2 linked regions of the Caenorhabditis elegans genome follow. The protein of the gene in region 2 purifies or fractionates together with the protein of the main gene of each other region. This does not show direct contact. Each region holds a gene or a part of one and is shown on either strand. Other genes may lie near its edges.

Region 1 (5,897 bases), on a different chromosome or scaffold from region 2:
CCCTTTGCACACCGAAATCTACATAACATTATATAGCACCACCAACACCAGAGTCGTCCGTTATACTTGTTCGTCATTTTATCATCGGACAAAAACGAGCGAATTGCACACGAAAAACGCGGGCTTTCTGACATACAAAAGTGCGCGCTCTTCCCTCCCGTTCCTATACTTGAAGCCTCTGATAGAGTCCGTCGCTATTGGATTTATGTTCTCTATTTTCAATATGCATTTCGAAGCTTAGTTGGTTGAAACGAAGCAATAAGCCAAGTTATTTAATTCATACAGTAAATGGGTAAGACTGAGAAACATTTGAGTTGAAATCTAGTATTCTACATTTATTTGGACGTATCAATTTCTTTTAGATGCCAACACTCCCTCTGCATCTGGAGGTGATCCAAAATCAGGAGATTCTTCAAGTGAGAAGCAATCACATCAAACTCCTACTCGACACCCTCCATGGCTCCGTTCTTCCTCTCAACCTGCCACGTGGCGTAACAGCGCCTCATGTAAGCCTCTAATCCTTCCCCGACTTAATCCTATTGTTCTGACACCCATTACACTTCATTTCAGTCAACGAGATCAGTGACGGCAATTGGACATACTGCATTGAAACGCAAAATACTGCGTAAGTGATTACTTTTTTTTCATCATTCATTGAACATATGATATTTAGCCCTGCTGTAAAAGGATTTGGGAATGTTCCAATTGTCAGTTACGACGTTATTGAAGCTATGGGTGATAGAAAACTGAAAGTATGTACCGTGACATGGAACATTAACGAAAAAGGTGTGAAAATATTGAGCCATCTCGCTCAGAAAATAGCAGAACGAGGACAAGAAATGGATAGTGATATATTTTTCATCTCATTGCAAGAAATACCTTCCACAGCACCGTTAGTTCCGAAAACTATTAATTTTCGATTAACTAAAATCAGTTTCAGAACTTTTCATGAAGAAGCATTACGAATTCTTGAGCCAGTTCTCAATGGTCATCGTCTGTACCTTTCACATAGAGCCTGGAGTCAAATGGTAATAGTCTTCATTCGACAGAAACATCTTCGATATGCAATCCGTGAGTTCAGATCTTATAATCTAGAATCTAATAGTTTAAAATTTCTAGAACCACAAGTATCATTTATCGCATCTGGTGCAATGGCAAAACCAGTTCGAACGAAAGGTGCAATCGCGGTATGTCTTCGTTTATATCAGCGATTTATAGTGCTTATCGGATGTCATTTATCACGTGAGTGGTCCCTTACATTGTTAGACTAATGATGAGAACACAAAAATGTTATATTCTTACAGATGCAACACCACAACAACGTATCCAAGACTACGCTAAAGTGGTCCGCACTCTTCGTTTTCCTCAGCTTGCCAGATTTCATGCACATGCAAAAGACGAAATTTTTGGTTCTGACGTAAGCGCCTCTGAAGGGCGACACTTCCTCCATAAATCATTTTCAGGTGGTGCTTTGGATTGGAGATTTGAATTTCCGGGTTACTGTAGAGAGCAATGTAGACTGGAGAGATCCGGAAAAGATTACAGAGAAAACATTTAGAGATGTTTTTGAAACAGAAGAGCTTGCCAGTCATAGGAAAAAGCAATTAGCATTCACAGATTTCAAGGAAGCTCCAATTAAATTCCCTCCAACACATAAATTCGAGCCAGACACAGACAATTATGTGCCAAAAAGGATTCCGTCTTTTACTGTGAGTAATTTCTGATTACAAACATTGCTAAGACTTCAATATTTTAGGACCGCGTTCTCTTTTGGGTAAGAAACTCGGAATGGCTCCAAAACATTCAGTACGATTGTATGAGAGGAACAACACCGTCGGATCATAAGGCAGTTTTTGCCACTTTTTGGTTAGCTTTTTTTAAACCTAGCAATAGAGTATGGTTAATTGGAAAATGATTAAAAACCATTAATATTGTATTTAAATTACCAAAAATAATATTAAATATATTCAAAAAATTTTGTAAAATTTTTGTATTTCGAGTCAAAAAGCGGTGCGAACTCAGTTTTCACCAATTTTTTTGGAAGTAGTGTACCAAAAAATTTATTTTGGTTTTATGTTATAATTATGTTTTAAATATTCATGTTAATTTAGCGAAGAGTTTTATTTTGATATTTGGTCATTTTAGCATCATAGGAATGGTTTTTAATCATTTTTCCAATTAACCTTACTTTTAATTGTTCACTATTTACTGGTTAATCATTTTTCTAGGCTAACTGTGATCAATAAGCCGGTTCCTGAACATTACAAGCAACAAAAGTCGCTGGAAAGAGAAATATCAATGAAAACCAACTCGGTGGATGCAAGTGGACCAGTGAACTAATATTAATCTAAAAAAGCATATTTCCAAACATTTGGTTTAATCTGGTCATTAAATCCCTGTTATTGTATTTTTAAATAAATTACCGTATACCTCAACTCTTTGCAAACAATTCAAAATACAAATTCATACCTTCTTCTCCTCCGGAAACTCCACAGCCGACGAACATGATCCCCTTTGCGGCGAGTTGCTCGGAGCGTCTCTGAAAATAATTGTTGTTTGTCAGTTCACAATCGATTCACTATATTACATATTTATTTTATTTTTAGAGAGAAAAGTCTAATGAATAAAATAAATAAATATTTAGAAAAAAACAAAAACTTACGTTTGAATCAGTGTATTCAGAATTTCCTCCATCAATGATAATATCACCTTCCTCAAGATGCGGAACAATTGCATCGATCATCATATCGACAGGAGTTCCGGCTTTAATGAGCATCATGACACGACGTGGTCTTTTCAATTTCTTGCACATTTCCTCAATTGAATGAGCTCCAATAATCTTAGTTCCTTTAGCTTCATTGGCAAGAAAATCGTCGACCAATTTGACAGTTCTGTTGAAGGCGCAAACAGTGAATCCGTGATCATTCATGTTCAGAATAAGATTTTGACCCATAACGGCCAATCCGATGACGGCAATATCAGCTTCGGCCATTTTAATTTCTGGAAAAAGCCATTGAAAATTAAAAAAAAGGATTTTAAGAGTGACGGAGAGAAGAAAAATATAGATTGCGGTTACAAAATTGATTTTTAAAAGTCTCTTATGGCGTAAATGACCAATTTATTTCAGAAAACAATTCTCATGTGTGAAATTTTGATCAAAATGGTTCAATTTCGGGAAACATCAATGAAACAATGATGATAATGTTTCGAAAAAAGTGATGCCAGAAAGGATTTTTTCATTACTCAGAATTTATAAATTTGATGTGAACGTTTTTGGATAATTCGGGGAAAGTTGTAAAAACGTGAGAGACGACTTTGATTAGTTTTTTGTGAGGAGGCGCCTCCCGCTCTTTACTTCATTTTTGGACAAACAATCAATGTCATCATCATTATTTTGTGGCCTACTCCACTCAACTTCCATCGCTTATTTATATATTGACTAGTGGAGGCGATTTGTTTTGTTTATAGGCCGTGTAATTATTATTATAACAATAATTGGGTACAGTTAGAAAAACTGAACTGGTTGACGGAAAGTGCACAGAAAAAAGAAAAACGAGGAAACCAGATAAGCAAAGAGACGGAGACAGATTTCTGCAGTGAATAAGAGATTGGGGGAAATTTGTGACTATCTTGTAGACCACACTCGGAGTTCTGTGAGATGTTATCTTTCTAGAAAATTGACCTCAATAGGTTTTCGAAAAGAAAAATTTCAAAATATTTCAAGGATAAGGATTCAAGTATTTCCTGAATTCAAAAATTGAACGCAATGATAGGAGAAAATAAGTTTCTGTTCTTTTAGAACGAGTGCCGACGAATGCCGACGAATGAACAAAAAACAAAGTGGTGTTTGGCATTGAATTACTTTTTTTTCTCCCCTGCACTCTTGTTACTTTTAGGCTACGACGCAAACAAAAAATGCCGGAGGTTTTGTCACCTTTTTTCAAAATTTTACAAGAAACGATGACAATTCGATCTTCTCGAGGTGTTTTGTTTTCGCTCAGGATTGAAAGCGTCGAATATGATGAGAAAATTGGAGGTTCAGAGAACAAATTGCATTGTAAAACGGGAATCAGAGTACATTTAATTTATGTAAACATGCGCAAGCAGGAATAAGATCCAAAGAAACACGGGAAAACTTAAAATTGAAATTGACACACTAATCTTTTAAGGTAAAAACTTTTTCTTGAGAGGTCCGCAAACTCGCTCTATTGGGCTACGGCGGTAATTCGAACTGAATTCTCTACATTAATTTTTAGTTTCTTTTTTTTTAATTTAATAAGAGCGTTCATCGTTCACTCAACGATTTTTTTTCTCCTTACGTCCTCATTCTCCTATATTCTCACAAAACACATCTCTGCCGTCGTTTCGCTGCCTACACTGCCTTTGTCTCGTTGTCTGCGTCGCTGCTGACCCTGCGTTGAGCGAGTTTCTTACCATATTGATTGTCAACTTTATTTTTTTATGCAATTAATTTACCTAAATAATAAAACTAAATGGAGAACATCAGCAATGAAGAGGTCAGTTTTAGAGTTTCCTAGGTATTTATAAAAAATCCAAATTTCAGAAACAAGCTTATCAGAAGAAAATGCTCAACGTGTTGATGATTGATTTTCTGAGAAGTACAAACATTGAATTTTCTATCGTAAATCATCCAAAATTTCGAGCAATGTTCGAGCTCATCAGACCGGATATTGTTTTGCCTACAACATCAGACTTAATTGTAAGTAATTTCAAAAATGAGCTTTTCAAATACTTACTATTTTAAAGTTATACTATAAAAATAGAGAAATATCCACACATATTCATCTAAAAGTTTTATAGAAAGTGAATGTCGACAAATACGATACATTCAAACGATGGGAGCTTATGAACCCCGATGAATACGAAAATTTAGAAAAACAACGTCACGAAATGGTTCGTCAATGGATGCAAACTGATATTCTTGAATGTCGAGAATCAAACAACGAATACATGCCGAATAGCCTTTCAAATTGTTTCCAATTGAGTCAAACTTCGGTAGGCAGGGAAAGACGATCTGATGAACAGTCGGTTTTCCCAAACGAAATGGAAGAGGAGTCATCTATGGATAATGAATTTGACGCGAACAGTGAAAATTCGAATGATATGGCACAATCGAGTCCAAATGTGAACTCACAAGATATCAAATTAGAACCAATATCAGATTACGATGATGCCCCCATTGAAACAAAACCTTCATTAGAGGATCTTCAAATGCAGGAGAATTCAAATGCAGGAAATTCAACCAGCGAGAGTCAAATTATGAATAACCCTGTAACTTCTGACAGTTTTGGAACGGGACCTTCTACTTCATTGACTAATTGCAAATCGGAATTCGAATTGTTACTGAAAAAGTATAAAATAACAAGAGTGGAAGAGGAAAAGTCACTAATTGGCTCGATAGACAACGGAAAATCATCACAAAAACGTTCGAAATCGTCCATCCAACTCACAACATTTGAACATATTCCTGGATATGTCAAATGGCCGTGTCTGGTGTGTAATCAACAAATGGAAATGACCAAGGTCCGTTCAGTCAATAATACAGATGCCTACATCATGATCTACGTTTGTGTTATGAATGATAAGTACGATATGGACAAAGCAAAAGAGTTGGCTCGAATGCAAAGATTTAAATGCTGTGTATCTCATTTAGATGAATTGGTGAGTCATTGATTTGAAAATGTGCACTAAAACTTATATTTCAGTATGAAAGCGCTCTTCATTTTTTGGGAGTCGTGGATCCAGATATTGATATTCACACGGATAACGAGAAAATTGTGCAAGCTTATCATGCAGTAAAAGGCATCAAGGATTCAAGATTTGTGCAGAAACTAGTATTCGAGGGTAGCAGGAAGCATATTGTGCCCTTCTGCAAT
Region 2 (5,582 bases):
AGACCATCCAATTCTTTCATAAAATCATTATAAGCTTCATCGGTATTTTTTGCTTGCTTCTGAACCTCCGGTCGCCTTTGTACTGGAGCCGCTTGTCGTGGGACGATAGTCTTGTTGTCTCCTGGACGACGGAGCAATTGTGCCGGCACTAATTTGACAGTTTCTCGTCGTAAGTTTCGTAGTTCAGGAGCAGCAGAAAGTGTTGCTGGAGCAGCAGGTTCATTACTGCGATTAATTTGTGGAGCCGACGAAATAACAGCTTCTTCGTGATGGTTTTGGAAACCCATTGGATTGTAATGAGAACTCGCATGTGGGTGATGGTGGTGATGATGGTGCGGCATTCTGGTTGGCATTGAGTTATATGAGGATGGAGGTCCGTCTGGAAATCAAAACATAATTTTATTTGCAAAACATAATTTTTATTACATTTTTTTTAATGTGGGAATTTCTTGAAAATTTCCAGACAAAAGGGAGTAAGAATTTTAAATGTTGGAATTGGCCTATAAAAACTTACAATTTCTATGAATTGGCTGGTACGGGTTGTCGAATTCGGGAACTGAAATTTTTCAAAAATTACTTTCGTTAAGAAATTAACTCCTTACTAGGTACGGGCGCAAGATCGATGTCGTCATAGTGATCATCGTGCACTTCCTCTTCTTCTTCTTCGCTGTCACTGAAATTTGGAGCCAATCCACAAGGCGGCCCAGGAGGCTTTTGTCCAGCTACACGAACAGGTCTAGGAGGAAGTTGAAATTCCACTTTACGTCTAAAAAATAATTAAAAATTTAAATTCTCAAAACTTATTTAACATACTTTATCATAGCAGGAGCAAGTAGTTGATTATTTCTTTCAGGTCCGGCAGTAGAAACATCTCCCATTGGTAAGGGGATCATGTCCGGGTCAGCTTCGCGGGCAAGACGAGCTTGTTCTAAAATGAACGTTGTGATTTATAAAAAAAAAGAAAAATGATACTTACGAGCAAGAACAGCTAGTTTTTGACAATCTGACTGATATGCATTGATTTTGTCATTAAACTTCTTTAATTCAGCGTCTTCTTTTCCCTGTTGCAATGTCATCCGTCTTTTATTAATCGAATCTGTCAGCACTTTCTGCTTCTTTCTGAGAACATCGATATGGAACGGTTGAGGATCTAATCCAAGGATCTGCCGTTCTAATGCCAAAAGTTTGCTCGTTGTCTCATCCAGATTACAGTATTTCGCCATAGCTTGTCTTATTTGCTGCCTGTCTTTTTTGTTTCTCTTGTTTTCCTTTTTTCGATCCATTTTACGAGCTTGATCGGTAGGCGCTCGATAGCGCTCCCCGCTTTTCGTTTTACTGATGGACGGCATTTCTGAAAAAAAAACATGATTTAGGACAGCTGTTCTGGAAATAAAAAACGAATTAAATACAGATATTCGAAAAATGAGGAGCTTTAGGAAAAACATCTAGAATAAAATTTGTATCAGATAATGGATGTGAAATGGATTCATTAAAAAAAAGAAAGATGCTATTATTTTCAAATGAGTGCAAAATTAGCTTTTCTAGACGAAATGTTAATTTTAATCAGAAAAATACGTTTAATTTATTTGGGTGCAAGATCGTCAGAGGCGTCGCGGTTTAGCCCGCAACGCACCACAAAACACTATCAATAGTCCACGTTCGCACCATCAAAATGCGAAGCAACTTTAAATTTAAAGGTTAGGTCTCGAATTCCAATAGACATTCACTTTAGAAGTCATTTCAATCTTTTTCTAAAATCACGACAAAAGTACTAGATTTCACCAGAAAAATAGGTTTATTCAATGATGACTGTAATAAAAAAAATAGCTATGAAATACATGGATTATACATAAAAGATCCTGATAGAATTATCCACGGGTGGCGATGTATCCGATGAGGTCGACAACACGGTTCGAGTATCCATATTCATTGTCGTACCTGTAAAAAATAAATTTAAAATACATTTTTTAAAAATTCAGTGGTTACCAAGAGACGAGCTTGACGAAGTTCGGGTTGAGCGAAATGCATGCTCCAGTATCGAAAATGGACGAGTGAGGGTCGGACACGAAGTCAGTCGACACAACTTGATCTTCGGTGTAGGCGAGGATTCCCTTCATTGGTCCATCGGCAGCGGCCTTGACTACCTTCTTGATGTCATCCATCGAAGCTGGTTTCTCGAGGCGAACGGTCAGATCAACGACGGAAACATCTGGTGTAGGGACACGGAAAGCCATTCCAGTGAGCTTTCCGTTCAGCTCCGGAATGACTTTTCCCACAGCCTTGGCGGCTCCAGTGGAAGCTGGAATGATGTTTTGTCCAGCACCGCGTCCATCTCTCCACAGCTTTCCGGATGGTCCATCGACTGTCTTCTGGGTTGCGGTTACAGCGTGCACTGTCGTCATGAGTCCTTCGATGATACCTGAAAATAAAATAAATTAGAAAAAAACAAATTGATTTGATGATGATCATACCGAAGTTATCATTGATAACCTTCGCCAGTGGTGCCAGACAGTTGGTGGTGCACGATGCGTTAGAAATAACGTGATCATTCGAAGCGTCGTACTTCTCATGGTTTACTCCAACCACGTACATTGGAGCATCAGCAGATGGAGCAGAGATGATGACCTTCTTGGCTCCTCCTTGAAGATGGGCAGAGGCCTTTTCCTTTGTCGTGAAAACTCCAGTAGACTCGACAACGAAATCGGCTTTGACTGATCCCCATGCGATGGCAGCTGGATCCTTGCTGTTGAAGACCTTGATCTTGTGCGATGATTTGCCATCTTTCTGGACAATCAGAAAGTCTCCATCGTAGGTAACAGTTCCTTTGAATTGACCGTGGGTCGAGTCATACTTGAAAAGGTAGACCATGTAGTCGATTGTGATAAACGGATCGTTGACGGCGACCACTTGAACCGTGTCCTTTTCGACAGCCGCGCGGAGCACGAGACGTCCGATTCTTCCGAAACCGTTGATTCCGACGTTGGCTTTCGACATTTTTTTGAGTCTGTAAGAAAACTTGAATGAAATTTTGACGGAAGATTCACAAGAAGTAATAGCTTAAGAAGGAACAAATCTGAATAAAAATGGCGAAAATTCAGATTGAAGCAAAGAGAGCAAAGCAAAATCAACCGCATCGGGAAGAAAAAGAGAATAAATGATGAAAAAGAAATCTAGATTGGTGAACAACTGCAGAAAATTGAAAACTTGCCGCTCGTGCGCGTCTGCAAAGCGCAAAAATATTTTTCATATTCGTTGCGAGACCCGTGGTTTTTAAATTTGGTCATCCCTTTAAAATTGAAAATTCTGGTGGAAAAAAATCAATAATTTTTCTTCAAAAATAAAGAGAAGATCAAAAATTATTGAAAATGAATTTTTATTCCGAAAAATCGAGAATAACACTAAATTTATCAGCTTTTAAGTGTAATCTAGAAATAAAAAAGAAAAACTATGCAAAAACTGAATATAAAAATGTGAAAATAAAATATTTTCGTTTCTTTTCTGAAGAAAAAAATAAATATAATATGCATTGTTTTATATCTATGGATATAAGACAATAATTGTTGATTTTTAGCTATTTTCAACAGGAAAACCGATTTTGTGCCGCTCTCTGATAAACTTGGGTACGGTATGTCTTGAAATCGAAAATTGTAACTCATAGTTTATTACGGGAACACAAAATTCTGAGAATGCATATTATTTACGGGCTCGAATGGATTAAAATAATTTATTTATCTATAGAATACTAAAATTAAGCAAAAAATGAGAAACGAATGAAAAAAGAATGTCGCTGTTCGAAATTAAATTAATTTCATAAATCGAGCCCGTAAATCGACACAAGCGCTACAGTAGTCATTTAAAGAATTACTGTATACAGCTGTAGTTCTCGCTACGAGATATTTAAAGCGTCAAATATGTTGCACAGTACGAATTTTTAGAATTTTGTGTTCCGGTAATATGTAAACTGTATTAATCATCCAGATTAAGAATATTACAATTTATAAAGCAAAAATACAGTATCAGGTCTCGACACGACCTTGAATTTTTAAACGGTTTCTCCAAAAAAGAGTGTACATTTTTAATAAGTAACTACAATAGTTCTTAATTGTCGCGGTTCACAGCTTTCAGTAACAAACTTCCGATCGTTGCAAGACCGTATTCTTGCAACATCTTTGTAGTTTCAAACTTTTAAACATGACTTTGACAGAACATTTCAGAGTTTTTTTGGGATGTCTGATTGTTTTTAACAGGTATGTTTGAAGAAGGAAATTTAATAAAATAAGTAACCTAGGTATATTATATTATTAACTCTCAAACATGTTGAATGTTTCATGTTACTTGAAATACTTGAAATTTGAAAAAAAAACTATTGTGATACTGATACATGTTACGGTATTTATTTTTCAGATTCGCCAGTCTGTGAGGAATATGTCCTAGTTTTCAGCTTCCGTTCCTATGCAAGCGCCGAGCCACCTTCTTCCCAACCTCGGGGGCCCTTAAAGAAATACTTTTAAGAAGGAGAAGCAGGGAAGAAGTGATGTTCCATTGTTGAGAGGGGCCCTAGGCACACACACATATCTCCTTTTCGTCCCATCTCTTCACCCACAACAACACACACACAACTGAGACACACACACTCGCACCACACACACTCACACAGACAGACACTCTCTCACTCACTCACGTACACTCCCCCAGGCAACGAGGAGACACTCCCCGCTGCCGCACATATTTTATCGACGCAGCAACTTAGTTTCGTTCCCCCCTCCCTAACTCTCTCTCTAGGCCACCTTTGCTTTTCTCTAGCTGCTTTTCCGGCTTCATCTCGGCTTCTTTTACAATTTTGGTTTCCATGGAAACTACTTCCAAATTATCCAAGAGACTAAATGCAACATCGTCTGGGTCTCTCTCTGTAAATGTCTAGTTTCAGGGGTGGTGCGGCAGAGAAGAAAGTCATGACCAATGAGGAGCCGGTGCCATCGACGAGCAGTGTGCTCAGTGCAGCCGAGAAAAACGTGAAGATGTGAGTAGTCTATCTGCAAAAATCGGCTGAAAGTCTGTACGACCACCTGTGCGAGAAAAACCCCATATCTTATCATATCAAATTCTCCCATCCCATCACTTTTTTCCCATTATTTCCATTTTCGAGAAAGAGATGAATGACCTTCACACGGTGTCGTCGTTGGGTGGCCATAGGAACATTGAATTGGAGAAAAAAAAGATACAGCAAAAAAAAGTGTGACATGACAAGAAAAAAACTGTTTAAGAAAAAAAAGAAGAAAATTAAGTAAATGAGGAAGGAAGTAGGAAAAATACTTTATTTATCAAAATAAATGTATAATATTTCAAAAAAAAAATCACCGAAACTTACAGTTTTGAAAAATGCGTTTCGTAGAACAACTACTATAGTGCTTAAATGTTCAAAAATTATAGCAAAACTTTTGGTTTTTTTTATTTACAGTCAAAAAAGTGGTGAAAACTTTGTCATAATTTTGAAAATCGACCAAAAAAATCAAAATTTCTACGAGTTTTATATTTTAATTAGAACGTTCTAGAAATTTGAACCGGCATCAATTTCACAATTT

Evidence for each region.
Region 1: the proteins of gpd-4 (region 2) and T25B9.9 fractionate together in Caenorhabditis elegans (co-fractionation; one large-scale study listed by BioGRID). This does not show direct contact.

What each region holds. Positions count from the first base shown.
Region 1 is NC_003282.8:10,766,756-10,772,652, reverse strand, and holds the start of T25B9.9 (6-phosphogluconate dehydrogenase, decarboxylating), read right to left. Parts: upstream 3,001-5,897; 5' UTR 2,993-3,000; coding exon 2,663-2,992; intron 2,540-2,662; coding exon 2,470-2,539; intron 2,436-2,469; exon of another isoform or gene 2,341-2,435; coding exon of another isoform or gene 2,229-2,340; intron 1,867-2,228; coding exon of another isoform or gene 1,757-1,866; intron 1,710-1,756; coding exon of another isoform or gene 1,464-1,709; intron 1,418-1,463; coding exon of another isoform or gene 1,305-1,417; intron 1,243-1,304; coding exon of another isoform or gene 1,120-1,242; intron 1,072-1,119; coding exon of another isoform or gene 941-1,071; intron 893-940; coding exon of another isoform or gene 674-892; intron 626-673; coding exon of another isoform or gene 571-625; intron 507-570; coding exon of another isoform or gene 363-506; intron 293-362; coding exon of another isoform or gene 289-292; exon of another isoform or gene 1-288. Other genes in the region: inpp-1 (Inositol polyphosphate-related phosphatase domain-containing protein), read left to right, coding at 363-506, 571-625, 674-892, 941-1,071, 1,120-1,242, 1,305-1,417, 1,464-1,709, 1,757-1,866 and 1 more; T25B9.8 (Lin-15A/B-like domain-containing protein), read left to right, coding at 4,494-4,517, 4,565-4,720, 4,822-5,682, 5,727-5,897. UniProt on the Caenorhabditis elegans protein: Catalyzes the oxidative decarboxylation of 6-phosphogluconate to ribulose 5-phosphate and CO(2), with concomitant reduction of NADP to NADPH.
Region 2 is NC_003280.10:10,168,692-10,174,273, reverse strand, and holds gpd-4 (Glyceraldehyde-3-phosphate dehydrogenase 4), read right to left. Parts: upstream 3,007-5,582; 5' UTR 2,995-3,006; coding exon 2,472-2,994; intron 2,420-2,471; coding exon 1,987-2,419; intron 1,939-1,986; coding exon 1,869-1,938; 3' UTR 1,776-1,868; downstream 1-1,775. Other genes in the region: WW domain-binding protein wbp-11, read right to left, coding at 1-379, 515-556, 603-766, 814-928, 977-1,349; RFX-like transcription factor daf-19, read left to right, coding at 4,953-5,020.